3 linked regions of the Caenorhabditis elegans genome follow. The protein of the gene in region 1 purifies or fractionates together with the protein of each later gene. This does not show direct contact. Each region holds a gene or a part of one and is shown on either strand. Other genes may lie near its edges.

Region 1 (9,062 bases):
GACATAATTGGCGCTTGATTAATTCGATCTATTAGGATTCCGTTTCTCAGTGTGATTTATCGAGATGTGGTGATGGAAACTTTGAAAAAATTATTTCACTTTTGTAGTTATTTTGCACACAGGACACTCAAAAAGTGCTATTGGAAGATCTTCCTCGTTGGGTGGTAACAAATATGAGATACGTTCCTGCATTTGTATTGATTCAAAGAAATAACGCATTCCGCATCTGTGAAAAATGAATATTTATATCTTTTAGCTTCCAAAACAGAAAGAAAACCAACTTTTCACATGTAACACTCTCAGTATTCGCAAACTGATTCACAGCTTTTGACTGTCCTCGAAATTTTCGATTGTCAATTTGTTGACCCGCATAATTCATTCGAGTCGCCGTGCTTACTTCATTGCGTCCGCTGCCACGTGGCATTGGTAGGAGTGGATGGGCGATGTAATACATTTCACTGTAACATTTCTGAGGTTTTTGGCAAAAGCTGAAGAAGAGAATATTACCTATCACCGCTCTGTTCAGCTGCATTGATGTCACATGCTGTCTGATAAGTCCATCGTCGTTTGTGGCTTACCATGGTTCTGAAAAGTGCATTTTTATTCAGGTTTATGCTGCTTATAAACTTCAAAAATTTGAAAATAACCGCGAAAGCGTTTCGGCTTAAACAAATTTTACTAATTTTATATGTTCAGTTAACTGTTAACAGTACTGTTGAAACCATAAAGAACAACAACAATAAATTGGCTATTTAGATGCCAACGACAGAGAAAGGCACCGAAAATGATGGGAAATGTAGCTTTTTCAGCCAAAAAAAATAAATTGTAAAAATTTTGTACATGTAGTATGCGAGTTGTGTATAACAGTAAATTTGAATCGGAGTGCCATTTTTTAAATTTAATATTAATTAATGAAATGTTTTTTTTCGAAAAATAACTTTCATGAAAAAAAGAGAATGAAAGATGGGGTTTTCACAGCTTTTGTTTCATTTTCCGAAATGAGGGAGTTTAAAATCCATTAATTTTTAACGAAACTCACGATGCACCATGAAATTCCCTCGGTGGATGGTAATTCCTGTTTCCTTTGATTTCTGGAGATGCAGAGGAGTTGGTAGAAGACTCTGGAGCAGAAGAACTTGTTGCTTGAGGCTCAGATGTCGAAGAATATGCAGAATTCAAGTCAGAAGACGAAGAAGATGATGATGATGAAGTTGAATATGATTCAGTGGAACTAGATGGAAGAGAAGATGATCCTGTTGCTCCACTTGCCACATCATCAATCACTTTTGTGAGATTTGGTGAATCTGTGTCCAAATCTTCCTTTTTCTCAATTTCTTGACTCAACTTCTTCTTCATATTCTCCCGAACAACTCGGCTTCTCAAACCATCCGATCGGATGAAGACCACTTGTTTCTCACCGAACATTAATCCTGAAAATACGTAATTCATGTTAATTTTTATTTTAAATTTAAAATCTCACTCATTTTCCTTGCTGGTTCTTCTACTTCCACTCGTGCCAAATGACTAATTGATTGAGGTCGTCGAGCTGATTCTTCAGATTCTTCATTTTGAGTAGACATTTTCAGTTAAATCCAGCTGTAAATTTCAGTTTTATCTAGACAAAAAAGCGAGAAAATCAAATTTGAAAAAGCAGCGAAGCATGATTTAATTATAAAAGTCTTGATATCTATGTACCTTTATCGTTTTCTCGTCATTCGACCATAATAATTATTGATCATTGTTCAATATCTCTGCGTATCTTTTCTCTTCATTGATTCACATCTTCGATATATTCACGCGCACATCTAACGCACAGCAAACACGAAAAACACGAAAAATACTTTTTTTTTTGATTAACACTTTATTTTCATCAAAGTTAAAATTTTGAAAAAGATGGTAATTATAATAAAATTCTGAGAAATAGCCTTGTAGAAAACATTGAGAATGTGTACTAGAAAGCGCTTTGGATTCGCCACGGAAATGGACTCAATAAAAATGGGGGAAAAATCAAAGTGGTTAGCACAAAAAAGTGAGAATAAGAATTCGCTCCAATAAAAATTTCACAAAAAAGAAGAAAATGATGGTTTTGAGCGGCAAATTTGAAATTTCAGTGGGAAAGGTACGGGGCTTTTATAAAAAATGATGGAAGAGAGTAGATAATTGTGTCTATAATCATCACGAAACAGGATTAAAGATGAGGTTCGATTCGATAGATGAGAATAAAAAGAAATGTACAAAACGAATAAAAACGATTTCAAAAATGGGAATATGAAGAAATTGAGTAACGAAATGTGCTTTTAGAAGAGCTTTTTGTGGTACCTACTGGGATATATAAGAAACATTTGAAAGCGACGGGACTAGGGGGGAGAATTACACTGTATGTATAGGAAAAAGTTAAGCGATCTCAATTGAAAAATGCACTAGAATTTCAATGAAGAGCGTTTAACTCAACGTATAGAGTATATATGACTGACCTCTAGAATCGCTAGAAATGAGGAAACATAGAAAAAAAAGCCGGGAATTTGGGGGAAATTGAGCATTTTCGTAAAATAGTATAAAAATCTGATAAAATTTGGCTGAATGCGAGAATATTTGGAGAAAGAAAAGAAATGGTTGCTGCACAGGGACGCTTTTTAGAATAGAATTTGGGACAACGATGACGAGGTTTTGTTGTAGTTCAAAATATAAACTTTATAGTTTCAGAGTTTTTTAAAAGTTGATCTCCCGTTTGAAAACGCTGAAATTATAACAAGGATAACAATATACGAGAAAAATGAACGGAAGTGAGTAAGAGTGTGTAGGGAGCCCTATATTTTTTTTGGAATTTTTTGATTTTTTTTGGGCGAGCTGAAATTCAAATTTCACTTAAAATAGATACAAAACGATGCAGTCCTAAGATGAGGCTTATAAGAAAGAAAAAACAAGAACATTTTTGAAACGGAAAGGCGGGGGCGGGTTGAAAAGTTGACAGGGGTAAATTTGAAAAAAAAAACGCTAACGGTATTTACATTTTAACGAATAAAATGGTATAAACTGGATAAATGGGAAATAAGAAGAAAAAACTTAAAATCTTTGGAAAGAATTTGAGCAAAATAAAAAAGAGACGTTTTTGTATTAAAAAGCTTGAGGGAGAGGAGGGGTGGCAAATGAGGTCTCAAAACGAAAGAATTAAGAGATATGGGGAGGGGAAAGAAACTTAGGAACTTAAAATAATGGAACAACACCGGGGACAACAAAAAGGCGGATAAGCAAAGGGAGAAGGAAAAAAAAGAAGACGGCTAGAAATGAGAAAAAAGAAATGTACAAGAAAAAAAGCTTATATAGGAATTGGGGTAACCTCCTCACTGAAACTTGCTGATGAGCGAAGTTGCATGAGGAACTGGAGTTGGAACAGGAAGTCCATTTGGAAGAATCAATGGTTTGAAGACGAATAGAGTGTGGTTATGCTTACACAACGTCACAATGTGACCACTTTTAGCGATTCGGAGACCAACGCACCGAGAAAGCTGAAAATACAAATTGTTCAATATAACTGCACTTTCTAAATAATTTTCAAGATACTTACTCTAAACTCGTTGTGAGTAAATGAATGAATATGTTGTCCTTCGGGTGAGAATACAACAACGTGCAGATGATTTCCATGAGTATCAGCTACAAGAACCTCTCCTGCCTTCGAGACGTCTATTCCAATTGGATATGGGGTCTGTGATGGTTCTCCCATTTTTCGGATGAATTTTCCTGAAAATATTACACTTTTTTTTAATCCAGAAAATTATTACGGTACCTTCAGAAGTGTAAACTTGGACACAATGATGCTTGAAATCCGTTATATAAATCAGGTTATCAAACATGGCAACATCAGAAGCTTCTCCGAGTTGAGTGGAAGCATCGAACCAGAATGTGACTCGTGGTGCATCTACATCAATAGAATACACAAATCCAGCAGTATCAACAAGTAAAAGTTGTCCATTCGGGGTTGCGGCAGCAGCGGATACTTCTATTCCGCCACGTGGAACCAAAGCCATCATGTTGAGACGTTTGACGAATTCACCACGAGCTTCGAAGATCTGAGCACGAGTTTTCCCGTCACCGCCTTTATCGAGTACCACATAACGGACAGCTTCTCCTCTCAGTGCAATCACTTTTCTTGGGAAGCACAATTGTCCGTCATCCGTTCCTGGACGTCCAATCTTCCATGGATGAGGTGGACCACATACGACAACTCGATGATTATTGGTATCAGCAATCAGAATATCATCAGTGTCAGACAAACAGAATCCAGATGGACAATGCAACTCTCGAATAGTGCTTCCTTGTTGAGATGTTCCGAACACACTGTGCACCTTCAGATCGCTGACTCGTTGTGCGTTCGCTGAATTCTGCGATTGACCGACATCCGAAGCAGTAGTGGTTACAGCCGAATTTGCGGCAGCAGTAGCTGCTAGTGCTGCAGCTGCAGCTGATGTGAGTTGAGGATTCAAACTCAAATTTCCCATTGCATTCATCGCCAAAAACTCTTGAATTGTTTGATTGGTGCGCAGGTTGTTCTGAAAATAAATATTAAGCATGTGTTGTGACTGCATAATATGAATAATGAATAGTATTTAGGAATGTTTCAAAAATAGAGCTTACCATTGACATTATTTGTGGATTCAATCGATGGCTGGCAAGTGCTTGTAGTTGAGCCGCTGCTAACTTCTGCTGCATATAGGCGGCTGAAGCATTAGTTGACAGACCAGTAGTTGTTGGTGTAGCCACTGCTGGAAGCCCTTGACGAGCATTCCACATCGCTGGGAAAATAGACTCTGGCAATGGAGTTTGTGATCCATTTGTTGATCCATTCGTAAGTGCTGCCAAATCCATGTGATTTGCAGCCAAGGCAACCAGATCAGGACGCATACCAGCAGCCGCAGCAGCCATCGCAGCTGCATTAGGAAGATTCGAAAGTTGCTGTTGAGAAACAATTGGAGCAGCTGTCTGAGTCGGAGCTCCAGTTATCATAGTTTGAGGTCCAGTAACAGGTGGGGGAGTTGTCGATTCTGGTGGATGACTGCTTGGTGGCCATCCGCCGAATGCATTGCTGTCTCCACGAGTACCATTGGTTCCATTCTGTGTGTTCTTCTTACGTTCTCCACCAATTGCACCGAGTTGTGGATTTTGTGAATAAACAGGGCGTCCCCATTCTGAAAGAATCAATATTAATAATCAATTTATAGAGAAAATAATCAATTTACCATCTTGTTGTGATGGATTAGCTGCTGAGCTAGATCTTCCACCTCCTGGTTGAGAACCTCCTCTTTCACTTCTATCAGTTGATGCTGCAGTTGCATTTCCAACGTCTTTAACAGTTGGCTGAATCACTCGTCCGATAACTGTTCCAGTTAGTTGATGCACAAAATGATCAATTTGTTTTTTCGATGGAGTATAAAACTCAAGTTCCACTTGGTGTCCATGAGATGGAATAGCATGAGACAAGTTTCCAAATTGTTGAATAACTTTTTTCCTCGAAACAACCAACTCGAGACCATTTCCTTTGGTAAGAAGTCGGCGAGTGAAGTTGATGGCATCATGTACTCGTGCTTCGTTAACTTGTGATTTACGGTACATTTCATCAATGTTAGACTCTTGACGGATTCGCGCCTCTTCGAGATCGTTCACGCTTTTTTGATAGGCCTCCTGAAATTTTAATATATTTTTCCCTTTAACTCCAAAACATTTAAATTTTGATGCCCTACCTCAATAGAATTGCGTAACTCCTCATAATGTTTATCAACTCGATACTTCGCAATCTCATACTGTTCATTCAACTGTTGAGACTTGTCTGGAAGGCTATTCATATCAGCCACAGAATTGTTATATTTCTTTTCGACACGATCCACAGTACTTGTCACATCTTCCCTTATAGCATTGATCACAAGCTCGTTGATATCAATGATTTTATGATTCAAATGATCAACTTCCAGGCATTGCTTACAAGCCGCTGTTTCACATGCTGCACACAAATATCTCATATGCTGATTATGAGTGGAGCACATGACTTGACGAAGTTCTGGATGGGCTCCAGGCTGCCGAAGATCAGCAAATGTGGTTACAGTGTGACCTTGGAAAAGGTTCATGACAGTATGAGCAGTTGTGCAGTTTTCGCATAAATCTGAAGAGCATTGATCACAGAATGCGATGGCTTCTTGTTCGGATTTGCAGGCAGTACATGGTTTGCGATGGTGGGCAACCATTTTCTCAACTTCAACTTCCTTCATTTCGGCAAGACGAACCTGGAAATATTATATTGAAAACATTGAATCCAAGTTTAGTAATGTTTTTGGTAGATCAAAAGACCAAAATACTATGTTTCAGAAAAAAATTCAACTTACAAAATCCAGGAGCATGGCATGAACATATCGAACATCATTTCCAACATGCGATTCTTGTGAACAAATTGGACATCGGATTACGCCAGGAGGTGTTGGTCGTTCTTTAACTTTCGGTGTTTCCAATTCACAATCCAACATTGCTGCAGTCGCTCGTTTCTTCTCTTCAATGGCAGCTGACTTTGCTTGAAGGTGTCCATCAAGTTGAGCAATAATACAATCTTCGCACATTGAATGAAGACAATCAAGAACTCGCGGTTTACGGAAATCTTGTTGACAGTATGGACATGAAGCATGATCATCTTCTGGTAGTGGTTCTGTGCCAAATAGAGGTGATGATGACGTTGATCTGAAACTATTTGGATTATTTATTTATCAGGAAAAATTAGTGTTTAAAGATGTAATATACTAACAATGGCCTAAAAAAGACCGACTTTCATAACCAAATTCATCAAAAAAAAAATTCAAAATTTGTAGTTGCAGTTCAAGAAATTTCAGAAAAATTGTTTTATTTTGGCTGAAAATTTGATTTTGCCAATTAAAAGATTTAAAAAACAATAAATAATCGATACGGAAAAAACAAAATTAGAGGTTTTAGTTGAAATTAAGAATTTTAATGTTTTTTTTTAACTTATGTAATTCATGATAGCTTACCTCAGTGGATCTTGTCCATTCAAACTGGGCGTTCCACTATTTTGTGTGTTATTTGTGGACGTAGCGGGCGATTCATGCCTACCATTCACCGCCGAAGTCGGCCGATCTGCCGCTTTTTTCATCTTCACGGAATGAACGTTCGACACTTTTCAATCTTCTTATCCGGGTGCTTTTTGTTATTAACAAGCACACAAATACAGAATAAGAGAATATTAAAGTATCAGGGACACTCTTGGAGTGTAAACTGAAATGAAAAATGATTATAAGAAGTTAATTGGGTTTAAGAGTAGTAAGAAATTCGAGTTTCACAGAAAATACATTCAAAAGAATAATAAAAAAATCAAGGAAGGCGTCTAAAGTTTCGGAAAATCAGTGAACTATTCGAACTCTAATAAGAATTACAACAAAAACGAACACCTAAATACAAAAAAAAACAAAATATTTGTTGGTTTGAACAACACAACGTTCAGTTTCAGCGTTTCTTTCAATGTCATAAGACTTATTCCACCTGACCAGAAAATTGTTAGGTTCTACAAAAAAAGAATCACGCGCAGACGAATAAGATACAGAAAAAATGAAACGGAAGAAGAGATAATCAAGAAAAAACAAAGTACTTATGGCATTCAATGTTCTAAATATTCTGCAATGCAATACTAAACAAAAAGCGAGCGCAGGGAATGTTTAAATGCAAGTGTTGTAAACGAAAATTGTTGATTTTAACAGAAAATTTTTAATTTTTAAATAAAAAATGAAGAATTTAAAAAAATTCAAAAGTTTTAAAACAAAATAATGCACTTTGGATGCCATTTTCTTCAGAATTTCACGATAAAACATTGAAATTTATTAGAAAAGCAGAAAGCTGAAATCAAATTCTACCTGTTACTGAAAAATCAATTTGCAAAATTCGAAAAAATGACGTCATTTCGACGAAAAAGAGCAATTACTAGCGCACTTTTGCACGAGACGCGTGCAGACAGTGGCGAGAGAGTATGCAGAATGAAGAGAGTAGTCATAGACTGGGACACCGCTTTCTGTATCGTCTCACACGCATGACACACACTTTCGCGGCCGCTACGCAGAGAAACCGCCTACTTGGCATCGTGCCAGCTGCACTTTCACCACCTCGAGGGTATTTGTTGGCTGAATGCCAAGTGGGCGGAGTGAGGGGCGTGAGGAAAACTGCAAAAGTGCGGCAGGGAAATTCGACGATTTTTTCGGAAGCGGTTGGTGGATGACCATTCGCATGATCATTCAGATGACAAACACTCTATTGGAAATTTTTTTCCGAATTTACATAAAAAAGAATTTAAAATCTTTTTACAATAGTAACGTATCAAGTTAAAAACTTTATCAGACGCTAATTAGGCTTCATAGGAATTTTGTTTACTTTTTTCGCATTTTAGCCAACGAAATCGATACGAGCAGGTTTTTGAAAGGCGCTTCCACTAATAAAGAGTTGCAATTTGACTAAATTAATATTTATTTAAATATATTTTACCAGTTCAACAGAAATAAATACTCAAAAGGGAACAATTTTTTAATAAAAAGCAAGGATTTATTCAAAAAGAATTTGTCCAAGAGGAGTTCTGAAATTCACAGTACCAATTTCGTTGCGGGACCTTTTCAATGGAAAAAGCTATGCTCCTTTAAAATTTCACAGGTACTGTAAAGTTTTAAAGAAATTGTTTTCCTTTTTCGATGAGATTCTATTTTTTGACGCCTTATCAGTTTGACCTCTTTCTTGATATCAGTTGTCTCATTCGTGCATCAATATTCAAAATTGCCTCACCAACTACTTCTTACCTTACTTTTTCAGCTCCAGAGGATACTGAAAAGTGATTTTCATTTGATTACCCTTACTTAAGTTTTAAAATTCCCAATATTTCAGATTAAAAAAGAATGGAAAACATCGAAAAAAGGTCATGAGCGGACGTCAACCACTAATTTCCCCCGGATCTCAAAGAATCGGAGTGAGCAAAGACAGAAAACGGTTGGCAAAAATTTTATTACTTTTAATTTTGAATTTATATTTACAGATTT
Region 2 (8,928 bases), on another chromosome or scaffold:
CAGTGCTTGCCGTGATACTCTCTCATTGATGTACTCTTGTGGAATGTACGATTGGTCGGGGCAGTTCGCTTTCCACGTAGGTCTTCCAGCCAAATCAGGAGTATCTGGAGATATGATTATTGTGATTCCGAATGTGATGGGTATTGCCTTGTACAGTCCACGACTTGATAAACTTGGAAACACGGTTCGAGGTGTCAAGTTTGCAGAACAGCTCGTACAAAAGTATAACTTCCATAATTATGATAGTCTGGTAAGTTATCTCAAAATAGAAAATTCTAAAGTTAATTTATTTGAGTTTTCTTTCGAAATATCTTATGGTGGGGGCGCAGAGAGAATCTCCTTTAGAAATCGACCTGGAAACGCGCTCCATGGCAAAATGAAAATGCTCCGCCCCCGAACCATGGGTCTCGTTAGGTATTTGGCGGCAAAACCGTATGCAACATTTATTTAGTTTTGCCGATTTTGTCAAATTTTTTAATTTGTTGTAGAATTTTTATTTTTTTATTCCGCCAAATTCCTAACGAGACCCATTGCTCGGGGGCGGAATGTTTTCAATTGTCCGTGGATCGCCTTTCCACGTAGATTACCAAACGAACTTTTCTCTGCATCCCGAATAATATATTTGGTTAAAAATTAGCATTTTCTACTTAAACCATAATAATCCCAATTCAGATCTACTCGGATAATAAGAAAATCGATCCTCGTCGTCAATTGAAAGATGATCATGACGGTCAGAATCGTTTCATGTATGCTACAAAATTGGGTGATATTGCTGCAATTAAACGATTCCTTTTGATGGGACATGATATTCATTGCAAAGATTATGATGATCGAACAGTTTTACACGTGGCTGCTGCTGAAGGAGACGTTGTCACATTGGAATACGTATTGAGTAAATGGCAAGAGGATCCGAATCCATGTGATAGATATGATAGAACTCCATTGGATGATGCTAAACATTTTAATCATACTGCTTGTGTTAAGCTGCTAGAAGAGGCAATTACGGTTTACAATCTTAAAGGACAAGATGATTAGGAATAGATGTTCTAGAAATTGATTTAAATTAATAAATCATTCCATTTTTTGTCATTTGTTAATTTACAGTCAAATTGTTGGAAGAAAAATTGAAAGATCAATTAAAAAAATAAAACTAAATAGAGCTTTATATTATTCAAGAGATCGAATGAAAATTGCTCGGTAAATAGAACACGATGAATGATATTAAAATAACAAAAAAGATTAAGAAAAATTGAATTCTCGTACAAGTTGGAAATCCTTGAGATGATCATTGAGCTTCTGGTGCAACTCCCTTCGTTGGTGGTTCTTGTTGAATATGGCTGAAAATGAAAGCATTATTATGATAATAGAGAGTTTATCCGTATTTTTTGAGCTTCGAAAGTGTTAAACAGAAAAGGAATCACAATCCAGAGCACACTTACAATCTCTTCATCTCGAGTTGCTTATTGTGTTGTCGTGAGTCCAAATCAAGAACAATCTTCTTTTCGATATTTTCTTCAGTATCGGAGAGCGCATTCAACATGATTCTCTGTAAATTCGTACAATTTTTAAATAATCAAGTGACCAAAATCTTACAAAGTCATCCTCGATTGCTTCTGAAATATAAAACAGATCCTGTTCCACATCCGACCATTTTGCTTTTGTCATCGAGGAATAGTCTGATTCTTGAACAAATGTCAACGCCTTGACACTGAGTTGCGGCAAATAGGTTCCTCTGTAGAAATGTTGTTTTATAAGAAACGACTTTTAAATAAATTAAATTTCAATTACCTTATTTTGTAAGCTCTTCCAACATCCAACTTGCAATGGAAGCATTTGATATCACTGAGTGGTTGATTGTCCTCACTCAAGTACTTACTCACCTTTCGCTTCTGAAAAAATTCAATTTTTCACAATCACAAATTGCGTTTCTATGATAAACAGAAGTCGGCTTAGCTGAAAAAAACATTTACTTGAAACATCTGGAAATTGCACAAAAATAGCCTGAAAGTCAATTGTCGGAAAGCAAAGTTCGGAAATTCAGCAATTTGATAATCGGCAATTCGACACTTCCAGGTAATTTTTAAGCACTTTATAAATGTTTCAACCTGAATAAGTTAATTTCAGATGAATAAAGCGATTTTTTTACTTTAAAACGATTTTTTAGTGACAGAAATTTTTTTAATTGTCTTTTTTTTTGAGAAATTTTAGGTTTCGGTTTTTTGGGAAAATGGTTTTACAGCCCTGGTCTACGAGTATAATCTTACAAAATTCATTAAAATTATATTTTCGACAAGCCGGCTCCGGTTTTTGAGCATTCATCAAACGTACCGATTCAACATGCAAAAATCTCCATACACTTGGATCGAACACCATGTAATTCGAGAACACTTTTTTGATATAAATACTCTTGCAGAACTCTTTTGAACAATTGCTGCACATCAATTTATAAATCTTATTCTCATGTCGTAATCTCAAATTGAGTTGCTCTTCCAGATTTCGTTTCCTTTCAGCCGCATTTAGTTCAGCGACTCGTTTCACTTCTGCAGCCAATTGTTTCTCGCCATTCTCTGTGATCTTCTTCACACAAAGTCTCATATACTTTTCAGAGATTAACGCGTTAGTCTCGGTTTCATTGATACTACTCTTCACTGATAAAAGCACAGAACGAGAGTTTTTGGCACGTGCACGACCTCTTTGTTGAACAAGTTGAATGGCTGATCCTGATGAACAGTTGTACTTGATAATAAGATTACATGCAGTAACATCGAGACCTTCTTCAACAACTGACGTTGCCACAATTACTTTAAGTCTTCCATTGTTGAATTTATCAAGTGTCAATTGTTGTTCTTGTGAAGTCTGCTGTACAGCGCCCTGTTTGTTTGTTCCGAGAACATATCCAACCATTTGTTCACCATAATTACCAAATTGATCTAAAACTTTAGATTCGTTCAAGAAATCACTGACACGTTGAGCGGTGCTTCTTTGTGTTACGAAAATAATAACTCGAGATTCAGGAGCCACGTGGAACTGATTGGTGAGTGTATTCTTGAGACGTAGAACAATTTCTGGTTCAACGGATTGAATTGTTTGTTTCAAAGTATCATGGTCTTTGATGAAGGTGCTGTATTCGACTGTCTCTGAATGACTTTCATTCAATTTCCCAATAGCTTTTTCCATGTATTTGAATGCAACCATCGCAGGCATCAGATCAACGATTCCGCGAGCTTCGAGATATACCTAAATCATTTCATTTACAAGAATCTTTGAAAATGAATCAAACCTTCATGTATTTCGCCCAAGTTTGAGAATTCCATTTCTCAGGAACATTCAATTTGTTCAACTCTTGAATAATACCTTGAAGTAATGAATCGTAGTACTCATAATTCTTCGGTTGATTCTTTTTAAACGTGTTAATCATATTCGGTGGGATAGTGTTGTTGCGGCCAGTTGATTTAGACATGCTTGCTAATTCTTCGAGAAATTTGCCATGGGCGTGGTTAAGGTATCGTTCGATGTAATCTCGAAGGATATTTTCTTTGGCAGGCAAGCATAGTTCGACAGCTGAGAAGAATTTTTTTGAAATAATTCTCTCATGAAATTTCATATTCCGAAGAGAAAACAAGTAATTGGTTATTTTTGGAATAGAGTAAATGAGGAATTTACTTTGAAATTGCCGGATTAGCTTGAAGTTAAACAATACCATGAGAAATAAGGGAAAACAAAGGAAATTTCAATACCGTGGTTTTGATTCTAAAGTGGGTTTTCAGCTTCCGAAGGTTTTTTTTTTCAATTCCTGTTTACAACACTTCATTTAGAAACCATTTTTCATTTTACAAGAACAATTTACAATTTTCAAATTTTTTTGAACTGTGTAAACTTGAAAATAAATATTTTTATAATTTGATACACCTAGAAATTTATCTTATTTGTATTTTAAAATTTATTTATGGTTTTTAAGAAAAAAAAAACTAAATTTCCAACTTGAGAACAAACTTACAATCATCTGGTTTTCCAACATGCTCATTGAGCTCATCTATGCTCGATTGGCGAGTGATTGTACTCAAATGTGGAGCGTTGATCAATGCGAGCATATTATAAATATCATTAAGCATCTGATTCTCGTCTTTTTGTCCATCAACTTTGACACTCAATGAAGCTGTCAGACCAATGATTTGTGGTTTTTCATACTTCCATTCTTGAACCATTTGATTAATCAACACATATGGATGATTTTTTGCAGCTTTATGTACTTCATCGAAGATCATCATTGAGAAATCACTCACATACAAACGCTCATTTTGACGTACCGATTGAAGCATGTTGCTGAAATAATTAGTTCGGGTATTATAAAAACCAGAGCTCGATCCGAAAAAATTAAACATTTTATATATCTTGATTAAAATTGCACTCTTTTTATAATTTATAATTTTTTTTGAAAAAAAAAAGTAAAATAAAAAATTAATGAGTTATATCAGAAATTTTCGATTCAGAATTTAATGAACCTGATTCCATTAACTCACATCAGAATTTGAGGAGTCATAACTGATACATGAGTAGCAATTACTTCATCACGACGTCCTGTTCCACTGACACTGCTCTCGGATCCATGAAAACCATTAACTTCGTACATTCCGTTACAATACTTCAGGAATCTGTCTTTTTGTTGACCGACAAGCGGGATTTTCGGCACAAGGAGCACAACCTGGAAAATAAAATTTTATTGCTTCTATATCAAGGGGAAATAATATTAGAACTTGACGAGAAAATTAAAAAAAAAACATACTCTGGAAGGCTTTCCTTGGGATGTTCGTTCTTCAATATGTTTGAGAGCCGCATAAATTGCCACTTCTGTTTTACCAGAACCAGTCGGAGCAACAATAACACAATTCTTTCCTTCGAGAGCCGGTTGGACAAGTTCTTCTTGATAAGTACGCAATACAAGTTCAGTAACCACCGCATCTGGATCTGGAAAAAGGAAAATTTGCACTAAATGTTGGAAATATAATCTTACTGTAGCCGCTGTCTTTCGGTTGTGGACGTATTGTCGTGCAAACATCCTCGCCGACAGCTTCCTCGTTAGTCCGCTGACTTTTCAGTAGGGTAAGGCGGATACGGTCACGTTCTTTCTCTCGTTCTTCTGAAAATTGATTTAGTTAAGCCTAGATTGTAAATCGAAATTCGTAAAATACATCAAATAGCATGAGATGGCCGAATAATAAAAAGTTAGGCATTATTTAAAATTGTATTAAAATAATTTCAGTATTTTGAAATCTGAAGTACAAAATGTTTGCCGCTATTTAATTTCCAAACAAAAAAAAACTTACCAAGCTCTTCTGGCCAGTTCTTATCCAAAAAGTAGAGAGCCGCTCGATTAGCTGGATCATTCTTCATTGCATCAATAAATCCGTAATACCACTCTTCGTGTTCATTTTTCTCTTTTTTGTCATTCGATTTGAATCCGATGATTGCGAGAAACATGGTGAGAGTCTTATGAAGACTCCATTTCTTCACAGCATATTTTTTCTCTTCTCCATTCTCGATTTTCAGCTCGAACGCTGGTCCTTCGGTTAGCAAATCTTCGACCAAATCAGTTGATAGTTGATGATTACCTTTGTTAAATACTTCAAAAGCGAGAATTGTAGTTTCACTAACACAACGTGGATTCGATTTCAGATGCTTCATAATAATCATTCCACGTGCAGCTCCAGCCACTCTATCAAGCTTCTGATATCCAAATGGATTATTGGTAACTTCCTCTTCATCGTAGAATTTATTTTTGAAAGTCTCAGCAGTTAACCAGCCATCAGGAAGATCTTCCCAGTGTGAGTATCCATAAAGTTCTTTATCGTCTGAATTTTACAGTTCAAAACGTTTGAAATTTCACGATTACTTACAGTTAAACATCACTTCGTCAGCAATTCTGAGTCCCTTCTCATCGAACAAAACAGTGTTCAAAAAACATTCCGAGAATCTTCTCTGAAATAAAAATTATTTTATTAAATGTTTTTCAAAAGTGTTTTTACCCTTTGAACTTTCTGCTGATGTGCGTGACGCAATGTAACGTATGTTTCTGCCTGTTTTCTGATTTTAACGTCGAGACTGAAAAATTGGTATTTAAAAAAAATATGGCACGAAAATTCCAGACACCATAATACTTTTTTTTGACCTTTTAAGCTTCTGTGACTCGAAAACTCACGATATTTAAACTTTTTATAAAAATTTAAGTCATTAAAACAATTTTATGTTTTCAAAACTCCGTTTCGACATCCTTGCCGTCACAGATATAGATAACACCGAAGAAATTGTTTTCGTTGGAACGTTTTTCTAATACATGATTTCTCTGTCGTCTTACTCGGCATTTCTGATTTTAATCATGTCCGGGTCATGAGAAACTGGAGTTGGCTCGTCAATGATCATTCTGGCAATTTCTTCCAATTTTCCTGGCGGGAACAGCGATTCAAATAGTTTGAAATATCCGATATCGTTGTTTCGTGTACTCTCCACGCATACATCAAGGAATTTCCATCTAAAATAATATTTAATTATTTGATCGAGTGCAAGGGGGGAAATGTATAATTTTCTTACTTGAGAAGACGAAAATACGCTGGAAAATATGGAGACTCAAACGGAAGGCGAAGCTTCGATTTGTCGTAATCTTCTAAACGTATTGCAGTTGGTTGCATTATCGAAAATATCTGTAGGAAATTATTAAATTAAATTTTGCCGACAAAACGACAAAAAGACATGTTGTTCAAACTGGCGCACAAAATATAAACAAGTGTGGCAGAGGTTTTCACATTAATGATTTTCTCTTCCTCTTGCCAATGATAAAAAGTTAAGAGGGAAATACATGAATGAACAGAAAACCATTATTAGTGTTAAAGAAGGGCAAGTAGTGTCAGGAAGGGAAGTTTTGGTTTCAGTATTCAATATTTAACGATGAGCAACGGCGGAATCAATAAAATTAGTATTTAAATTCTACAACATAAATAAATGTTTTGGCTCTTCAACCTTGTGAGAAAATAAAATCATAATATTTAAAACAAGAATAAAACTTTCATTAAAACTGCAAATTCACGGGAACCGGTGATGGAAATACGAGCAGCTGCCAACAGAAAATGAAGAAAAGAAAAGGAAATTTGAAAGATAGAACAGAAAATAAAATTCTTTCGGCAGGTTGTTGGGATGAATTTCAGCTGATGAATGGCAAATTAATACGAATAACTGGATGAAAAGAAAACATCGAAAATAACATTTTACAACGTTAAAACGAATCGTTGATGCACTTTTAAGCGTCTGGCTTTAGAAGTTCAGCGGAGTTCCTGGCAGCTTCAGCAGCACGGTCGGCGCGTTCTGAAAGAAAATAAGAGAAATGCTTTTTTTCGATATTTAATAAATTATCCATATGAAAAATTGTTAAATTCTTTCTTTACTCAAAAATCGAGTTTTAAGCGGTTTTTTGTAGGATTAATTTTCTAGCCATGAATAAAATACCTTTTTTCACAAAACGCTGCCTTTCGATCTCAATGCGCCATTCGAGAGGAAGTCGAAACCATTCTTCCACAGGATGTTGAGCAGTGAATGCTTCATCGGAGAGAGGATCATCTGGATCCACGTCCACATAGATACTTTTCGACGTCTCTTTCATATTGTCCAATGTAGAGTTTGAACAACTTAGTGATGGATTTTTAGAAATATTTTTATTTTCTGAAATTGCGAAGGTTGTTAAACTTGTCAACTTTTCTTGTAAAACGAACTTTTAGAGGCTAAGTATTTTTGGAGGAACTCTTTTGGCAACCGTTGGAAAATGTAATTCGGGTAGAACTTGGCGAAATTTCCTGTGTTCTCGTACTCCTTCAAGCACTCCTCTACGGTCATTGTTGGCTGAGAATAATGCTGAGAATGATTCTTTCGGGACCCACTTGATTTATTTTTTTTGTTGCCCATCTGGAAGATGAATATCAGCATAAAATAGGACACGGGTAGGGCTGCAAAACCTCGGTAAAGTTAACGTGTTAAACAATAAAAAGTAATACTAATATGAAAAGTGTCATAACATGTAGTGCATATTTCTGGTTAAAACCAATATTGGATAACAATAAAAACCTATAGAACAAAACTTTAAAGCGTTTATTAGAAAACACGAACAACGATACTATAGCTCTATAGAGAAAATTTTAAAGGGAAATGAAATAATCTTAACAAAAAAAAAAAGAAAAAAAGTTCGTCACTTGAGCATTTTCAAAATTTTTGAATAAAACTGTTGAACTCATCACGATGATGAATGCATTTGTGATATGTTACAAGTATTGCACGAAGATTACATCTGGAAAATAAACTCAGTTATTGGAATTATTTAACGGCATTTCTAAAAAAATAAATTACCTTGTTCGAGTAGCCGTGTTTTTCGCGTAGCCGATAAATTTCATTGATTACTGGCTCATTCAAAAGAGCCCACTTATCGTCCGGGTAGAAGCCGTACAAACAGTTCTTGCCACATTGTGCTAAGGGTTTCAGTGGGATTTTCTCGTTATCGCATGATACTCCGTCAATTGACTCGTCCTCTTCTTTCCGTTCAACTTTCACATTGTCGGGGTCTTCAGCCTCCACCGGCTCATCGTTGATCACAGAATCGGAACAATTACCAGCAGTTTCTGAATCCATATGATCTTTCGAAGTTTTTACACAGTCTCCGGTTGATTCTTCTTTCAACACTTCTTCAGAGATTACAGAGCTGGCAACGACCTGTGAAGCTTTCTCCTGGTCTTCATTATTTGCATCATCTGTGCTAGTCGCATTTTCTTGAACGATATCCGGTTCAGCAGCCACTGCATCTACTGCGATCACTCCTTCTTTTGCATCGGAAGACGCTTTTGTGGTTACTTCTTCCGATTCTTCACACTTTTCCGCGTCTCCAGGAAGTACTTC
Region 3 (7,259 bases), 720 kb from region 1:
GTCTTAATTAAACAATTTTCCAGGCTGACGGTCGTCATTTCGATAAGAAAACTGAAGCAGAAGAGACTGAAACGCAAATTCAGAAAAAGTTGGGAAGCTTGAAAGATTTGGAATATGTCAAGTTCAAGCTGAATGAGGAAAAGAAGAAAATCGACGAAATGAAAGGAGAACTTCACTTTGCGGATTCTTCGTTGAACGGCAAAGGAAATACTCATACCGTTTTTGTGGACACAGATTCGGAAGGTGAGAACATTTTTTAAAAAGAAAATCTCAAAAATATAAGAATTTTTCAGCCAAAAGTTTCGATCCACGCGTCTACTTTGACACAACCACTTCGATGCTCTCTCGACAATTCAATCGATTGAAAAATGAAGATTTTCAAAATAAAACTATTATTGGAGCTGGTACGAAAGAACAAGTCAGAGTAAGTACCCCTTAAAGATCTAAAACAAATGAAAAGAACAAGTCAGAGTAAGTACCCCTTAAATATCTAAAACAAATGAAAAATCTTAATAAAAATTATTCCAGAAAGCCGATCGTGTACGTCGTACTCGATACAACGAGCTCATCAAACGCGTGGAACGTGCCAAGGAGCTTCAAGTGGTCGTGGACAAGCTGGAATTGAAGAAACAATTGGCAGCTGGAAGCAAATCAGAATTGAAGCCTCAAAAGGTCAAAAAGGCGAAAGCTATGCGAGCAGCCGTCTACAAATGGACCTATGAACGAAAGAAGTAGTTAATTTCTTTTTTTTTAATCCCATTTTATTCTGAATCTTCTTTTTTGTTAATTTTTGCTGTTGAGTTTACATTTTATGCGTTATTGAAATTGTTGACTTTATTGAAACATTGAATTTAAAGAGATCTCTGTCGTTGTCACTGGAAACGGGACCATCGTCTCTCTCGTCAAATCAATCGTCTTTAAAACAAGCGGAGTCAGTGAAGAGGTCTGAGTGAAGATGAGCACGGCACACATGTTGGAATCGCAGCAACAATCTTTTTGCTGATACAATATCTTGTGTTGCACTAGCATCGATCGCAGTTCGCATTTTGGCATCACTGACACAGGTTGTTGACACTTTTGAACATCTGGGAATGGATGAGACATGATGAAGACGGAATCGAATTGACTGAATTTTTCAGGGTCCTAAACAGATAACTGGATTTTCAGAATTTTGTTGAAAAGGATACCGTATCCTTGACACATCCACTGTATATTCTTCCTGGCACCAGTGCCACCACATCAGTCATATTCATAGAATGACATGGATAATTCTCTGGATCATTTAGAAATTTTACTGCATTTGATGATCGAGAAAATATTGATCCAGTATATGGAAGACTTGTCGTGTTCTGTTCCCTATACACTGCTAACAAACCACACAGAAAACGAGGAAATAAATCTGGAAGATCTAGAAACGAGTGGTGTTCTAGACAAGTCTTGACCAGTTCTGATAGGCTCTGAAACTCTTTTCTAGACTTGAAAAATGACTTATTAAGCTCACAATTTTATCTTCAAGTTCTCGAATTGTCCAATCGGGTTCATATTTCTTTTTATCTTCTAGATAATTTAGAAACTTAATTTCCGTCGCATTCGTCTTCACTTCAGCTAACGGATTCATCAAAATATGAGCAATTGATTCATTAAGGAATGGCTGGAGCAGCCTGTTTGGAATTATCGGCTTTTCGAGCAACGCCTTTTCCTTCAGAATTTTAGGCATATGTTTGAGATGAATTATGTCGCATTTTATTGAATTTGCCAGAAAAGAGACGAAAAAGCAGAAAACTTGAAAAACCAGCATCGTTTTGATTGTAGAAATGAATTAAATAATTAATATTTATTGAAGCATAACAAATTAATTTTTTAAAAATATTGTTTTCTATTATTTTATTTGAAATGTTCAGAATAGTCGTTAAGTTTTTGAAAACTAATAAAATTCGATTTCTAGACGTGAAATTTTTCGAAGAGATCACAATGCAAGCGCGCTCTATTGTTACAACGCATGTGGCGCCACGATTTGAACTTTTGTACCGCCACGGATGTGTTTTCTCGAATTTTCTGGCCTAAAATTTATTTATTTTCATTTCATTTCTCTCCTTGCGTTTTTTCTCATTTTACTTGAAAATCTCAATCAGGACGGTAAAGCTTTTGTTTCATTTACTTTTTCTTAGTAAATTTCACTGTTTTATCTCAATTACATCTGAAATTCGCATCGTTTTTTCGTTTCATCGTTTCTTATTTCAGTCAAACATGGCCGACTTGCTCGACAAAATTATGGGAAGTTCGTCTTCCAACAGGATTCCCAAACGAGACAACCGAATGAATCAGGACAAGGACGAACCGACGTCAAAGAGAAGTGGTTCGTTTAGAATCAACATTATGCCTAGGAGTTCAAAATTGTCTTTTTCAGCACCAATGTTCTCTACTCCGAAGTCAACAACACCAATTGGACGGGACTCTTTCGCAACGATGGACACGATGAATGTTCAGATGAACATGTTTCCAGTGGACATCAAGGATATGCCCCACAAGATCCAACGCTTTCAAGTTGACGTCATCGTCTGTTCCAGCAACGGAAAACAGATCAATGCCAACCTTGGAGTTTTGGCGGCCAAGGGAGAGTAAGTATTTAATTTGTATAACCGCTCAAAATCAGTACTTTCCAGTGTCAATTCCCATAACCGTCGCTTGGCACAATACTACATCATGAGAACAGTACATGACAAGCTTCTGGTGAAGTTCAGTGGAAAGAGTCACCACTTCCTTGCTTACGACTGCGCTGCGACTCTCTATCTTCCGGAGGGAGTCTACACTGGTGACGATCAAGAAGAAGTCACGTTGACGATCGATGACTTCCCGAAGGAAGAATGGAAATTCGTGTCGAAGTTGTCTCGCAGAAAGGACGATTCTTACCTTGTTGTTCTCAAACCTGCCGGATTTGTGTACACCCAAGGAGAAGTTGCCCAGGAGGAGGCTAATCGTATGGAGTTGACTCGTATTATCGAAATCGTCACTTCACAAAAGCTCAACAATGAGGATTACTTACAATTTGGTAATGCCACATTCCCACGTCTTTCTCCGCCACACTCGGAACCTGATGCTATTTCGGAGATCCGCTCAGGTTTTGCGAAAGTATCTCGTCTATCGCAAAACGGAGGTGGCAAAGCTTTCATGACGGTTGATACGAAGATTTCTCCATTTTACAAGGATACATCAGTTATCAAGTTTTCAAGCAACAAGTTATCCGAAATGAAAGGTGGAGGCGGTGGAAGAGGCGGATACGGAAGAAGTGACTCGCGAGACTCTCGTGGTGGATACCGTGGCGGCCGTTCCGACTCGAGAGACTTTCGTGGTGTCTATGGAAACCGAGGTGGCAACGACAGGTACCGAGATGAAAGCAGAGGACGTCGCGACATGTACGATTCCCGTCGAGACAGTGGTTCTTCAAATGGAGCGGACTACTCTCCGAGTGATGCTGCTGAGTTGGAACACGCTTTTGGCGAAAGAGGAAACACGAAGCGATGCATTGAAGAAGCACTCAAAGGATTGGACGTGGAATGCACTCACTTGAAGGGTAACCTTATTCGCGTATCCTCGATTGCCGAGAACAATGCTGAGAAGTAAGTTATTCGATAGTTATCATCAGCGTGATAACAATTTGTTTTGTAGCACTTCGTTCATGATGAAGGACGACAAGGGAGAACGCGAGGTCACCGTGGCGGAATATTTCCTGTTGCAGTACAACATCAAGCTGAAATATCCGAGACTTCCTCTCGTCGTCTCAAAAAGATTCAAACATGAATCTTTCTTCCCAATGGAGTTGCTTCGAATTGCTCCAGGCCAGCGGATCAAGGTCAACAAGATGAGCCCGACAGTACAATCGGCGATGACAGGAAGAAATGCGTCTATGCCACAGCATCATGTGAAGTTGGTTCAAGATATTCTCCGCGACAACTTGAAGCTTGAACAAAATAAGTACATGGATGCTTTCGGAATCAAACTGATGTCGACTGAGCCAATCCAAATGACTGCGAAGCTCCTCCCACCAGCTCAAATCAAGTTCAAGGGCCAGACTTACATGCCTGACATGAGCCGTCCAGCGTTCCGCACACAGGACAAGTTTGTCGAACCAGCACGGATCAGAAAAATTGGTATTGTTGTCTTTGACAACTGTATCCAAATGAGACAGGCCGAGTAAGTCGAACGTTGTTTTCTTCTGCTTTATAATATTCTATTTTCAGAGATTTCTGCGACAAGCTGTCCAATTTCTGTCGTGACAATGGAATCACGGTCGAAAAGGACTCGCGAGATTGGTCCATCCGTGAATTGAACTCCAGTGATTCCGTTGCTATCCAAAATCTGATGAAGAAATGGCTCGATGATAGAGTGGACATTCTTGTTGGAATAGCAAGGGAGAAGAAGCCGGATGTTCACGACATACTCAAATACTTTGAGGAATCGATTGGCCTGCAAACAATCCAATTGTGTCAACAGACTGTCGATAAAATGATGGGAGGTCAAGGTGGACGCCAAACGATTGACAACGTCATGAGAAAGTTCAACCTCAAGTGTGGTGGAACCAACTTCTTCGTCGAGATCCCGAATGCTGTGCGTGGAAAAGCAGTGTGCTCAAACAATGAAACATTGAGAAAGAAACTTCTCGAACATGTACAATTCATCGGATTCGAGATTTCTCATGGCGCATCACGCACTTTGTTCGATCGCAGTAGATCACAAATGGATGGTGAGCCATCAGTTGTTGGAGTCTCGTATTCCCTGACCAACTCGACGCAGCTCGGAGGCTTCACATACCTTCAAACCCAAAAGGAGTACAAACTTCAAAAACTTGATGAATTCTTCCCAAAGTGTGTCAGATCGTACAAGGAGCATTCGAAGACACTCCCAACAAGAATCGTCATCTATCGTGTTGGTGCTGGAGAAGGAAACTTCAATCGTGTTAAGGAAGAAGTCGAAGAGATGCGACGAACATTTGACAAGATTCAGCCCGGATACCGTCCACATCTCGTGGTGATCATCGCACAAAGAGCTTCACATGCTCGCGTTTTTCCATCATGTATCAGTGGCAACAGAGCGACGGATCAGAACATCCCATCTGGAACATGTGTCGAGAATGTCCTGACATCCTACGGATACGACGAGTTCATTTTGTCTTCACAGACGCCGCTTATTGTAAGTTGTTCATTAGTTAATTTATTAAATGAAAGTTTCTTTTAGGGTACCGTTCGTCCGTGCAAGTACACGATCCTTGTCAATGATGCCAAATGGTCTAAAAACGAGCTCATGCACTTGACGTACTTCCGCGCATTCGGTCATCAAGTGTCCTACCAGCCACCATCGGTTCCAGATGTTCTTTATGCGGCAGAAAATCTGGCTAAACGAGGACGCAACAATTACAAAATTCATCAGTAATAGTTTATTTTCCTAAAAATCTTTATCAAAAACAAATGTTTCCAGGCGTTACGTGAATTTGCAAGCAGTTGAGAACCGCATCATCAAAGACCATTCGGAACTCATCAACGAAGACATGCGAGAAGAACTGGCGGCAGCCATTGTTGATGAGATGTCCGTTGCAATGAACGGAATGACCATTCCGAAGCGAAACTTCTGGGCGTAATCCCGAGATTCTCTCTTTTATTGTCACGTATTCACCCCCTTTACATATTACCAACATTTTTTATCCACTACCCTATACCTACTCTCTATACAAGTACTTAAATTCCCATGCTTTTGTTTTTCTGAACATTCTTTATTACATTTTTCCCCATAATTGTATCGTATTCCCCTTTATGTTTTTATAATTTCAACTAAGAATCCTTTTGTAATTTAATCTAGAGTAGAGTACATTGACACATAGTTTGAATAGTAGATACTCCTGTTTTACCTGCCTTTTTTTCTGTGCGAATTTCCTCCAACTTTCTTATTAGGAGTTTTCGAAGGCGAAAGAAACTTCCAATTAGAACGTTTTTGGAAATTTCGATTTTCAATAATCTTACTTGCTCTACCCCCCGTCCATTATCATTTATTAAGCAATAAATTATTCGAGAAGAAATTTTAGTTTTCGCTGAAAGCAGTTTGATCGCGATCATTTTTCCGATTTTTGCATAATCACAAAACAAAACTTTTTTAAAATTAAATAGCTTGCAATTTTGACCAGTAAATGTGAAAGTAAACTTTGTTGTAAATTGTTAAGTATGTTGAACAATTGTAAAGGAAAACATGATTTACGCAGAATATTACATTGCACGTTATAAAAAAAAGAATCGACACATTAATAAATACAGAAGAGTATCATTGAATTTTAACACACAGTTAGGCGTCTAGCGAATCGGACTACGTTGGCGTTGACGATGATCGAAACGGTCTCCCTGCTCCCGGTTATTGAAACGACGTCCTTGACTTGGCAAGGAAATCGCGACGTCGACGAAATCACCGACTTCGAATTTGCATTGTTGTAGCTGAAAAACAAAGTTCAATCAAAACGAATTTAATATTGGAGATATTATTTCCGAATTCAAATAAAATTCTAATGGTTCCGTGGTGTCAAAAATCACATACAGTTTTGTTGTCATCAATGCCACGCTCTCCATTCGTCGTGTTTCCCACATCGCGTAGAATGTATCTTGGCGAGCCGCGGTCTGCCTGCACAATAGCGAAATCGAATGTGGTGCCCTTTCTTCTAGCGTCCGGATTCACTTCTTTGATTAGACTGGTCAATTCACGCAGAGAACAGTCCATCCTGAAAATAAAAAAAATACTTCAGGTTAACCAAACTTACAAGTTTGAATGTATTATTGAAAATATTAGACAAAAGTTCTATAATTTCGGCCAAATAGTACTAATTTTTCTATTTCTACCGCGTACCAAGTATGCATTTGAAGTTCGCTGGGTGGAACAGATCCTCCATTTCTACTATTGTACTCGCTCATCGGATTATGACGATTATTAGCAACGAAGACGCGAAGAAGCATCGGACATACTTTCTCACGATCTAATGGTTTATCGTGACCAACTGTCACCTGAGACACGAGTTGACCGTTGCTCATTTTTCTGAAAAAAAAAGATAAATTTGCTCTAAAAAGGGATAATATAAAATATATTTGTTTGGTTATACAGAAAAAAGAGAAAAAAGAAGCAAAACGCCAAAATTTGCATTCGAATGTTTGTGGGCGGAGCGTTCTTTGCAACCCTGGCACACAAGATTTGCAGATATGCCGCGCGCAGATGACATTCTCCTATTTTAT

What was found. The genes of interacting proteins can lie anywhere in the genome.
Region 2: the proteins of nhl-2 (region 1) and drh-3 purify together in Caenorhabditis elegans (affinity purification with western blotting, with the first as the bait; one study listed by BioGRID). This does not show direct contact.
Region 3: the proteins of nhl-2 (region 1) and hrde-1 purify together in Caenorhabditis elegans (affinity purification with western blotting, with the first as the bait; one study listed by BioGRID). This does not show direct contact.

The regions. Positions count from the first base shown.
Region 1 is NC_003281.10:4,891,814-4,900,875, forward strand, and holds nhl-2 (B box-type domain-containing protein), read right to left. Parts: upstream 7,273-9,062; 5' UTR 7,145-7,272; coding exon 7,023-7,144; intron 6,718-7,022; coding exon 6,372-6,717; intron 6,273-6,371; coding exon 5,736-6,272; intron 5,677-5,735; coding exon 5,235-5,676; intron 5,184-5,234; coding exon 4,633-5,183; intron 4,548-4,632; coding exon 3,785-4,547; intron 3,739-3,784; coding exon 3,566-3,738; intron 3,507-3,565; coding exon 3,342-3,506; 3' UTR 1,845-3,341; downstream 1-1,844. Other genes in the region: F26F4.6 (TFIIS-type domain-containing protein), read right to left, coding at 91-226, 282-458, 508-585, 1,040-1,430, 1,481-1,580; tag-340 (START domain-containing protein), read left to right, coding at 8,945-9,012, 9,059-9,062.
Region 2 is NC_003279.8:7,818,598-7,827,525, reverse strand, and holds drh-3 (Helicase ATP-binding domain-containing protein), read right to left. Parts: upstream 6,696-8,928; 5' UTR 6,684-6,695; coding exon 6,586-6,683; intron 6,527-6,585; coding exon 6,353-6,526; intron 6,100-6,352; coding exon 6,024-6,099; intron 5,977-6,023; coding exon 5,895-5,976; intron 5,850-5,894; coding exon 5,325-5,849; intron 5,138-5,324; coding exon 5,012-5,137; intron 4,966-5,011; coding exon 4,784-4,965; intron 4,703-4,783; coding exon 4,521-4,702; intron 4,324-4,520; coding exon 3,998-4,323; intron 3,562-3,997; coding exon 3,281-3,561; intron 3,238-3,280; coding exon 2,329-3,237; intron 1,890-2,328; coding exon 1,789-1,889; intron 1,733-1,788; coding exon 1,594-1,732; intron 1,547-1,593; coding exon 1,440-1,546; intron 1,338-1,439; coding exon 1,286-1,337; 3' UTR 1,148-1,285; downstream 1-1,147. Other genes in the region: glna-3 (Putative glutaminase 3), read left to right, coding at 4-250, 673-1,035; D2005.7 (NAM-associated domain-containing protein), read right to left, coding at 7,289-7,353, 7,495-7,707, 7,758-7,947; D2005.4 (TPR_REGION domain-containing protein), read right to left, coding at 8,321-8,326, 8,386-8,928.
Region 3 is NC_003281.10:4,171,142-4,178,400, reverse strand, and holds hrde-1 (Argonaute protein hrde-1), read left to right. Parts: upstream 1-2,241; 5' UTR 2,242-2,247; coding exon 2,248-2,356; intron 2,357-2,407; coding exon 2,408-2,618; intron 2,619-2,663; coding exon 2,664-3,617; intron 3,618-3,666; coding exon 3,667-4,191; intron 4,192-4,238; coding exon 4,239-5,187; intron 5,188-5,232; coding exon 5,233-5,423; intron 5,424-5,472; coding exon 5,473-5,632; 3' UTR 5,633-6,064; downstream 6,065-7,259. Other genes in the region: utp-11 (putative U3 small nucleolar RNA-associated protein 11), read left to right, coding at 24-243, 294-424, 529-735; C16C10.13 (Rab3 GTPase-activating protein catalytic subunit), read right to left, coding at 835-1,143, 1,188-1,457, 1,502-1,618; C16C10.4 (putative histone deacetylase complex subunit SAP18), read right to left, coding at 6,336-6,473, 6,574-6,754, 6,880-7,061. UniProt on the Caenorhabditis elegans protein: Argonaute protein which is involved in the endogenous small interfering RNA (endo-siRNA) pathway and is required for RNA-mediated gene silencing (RNAi) in the germline.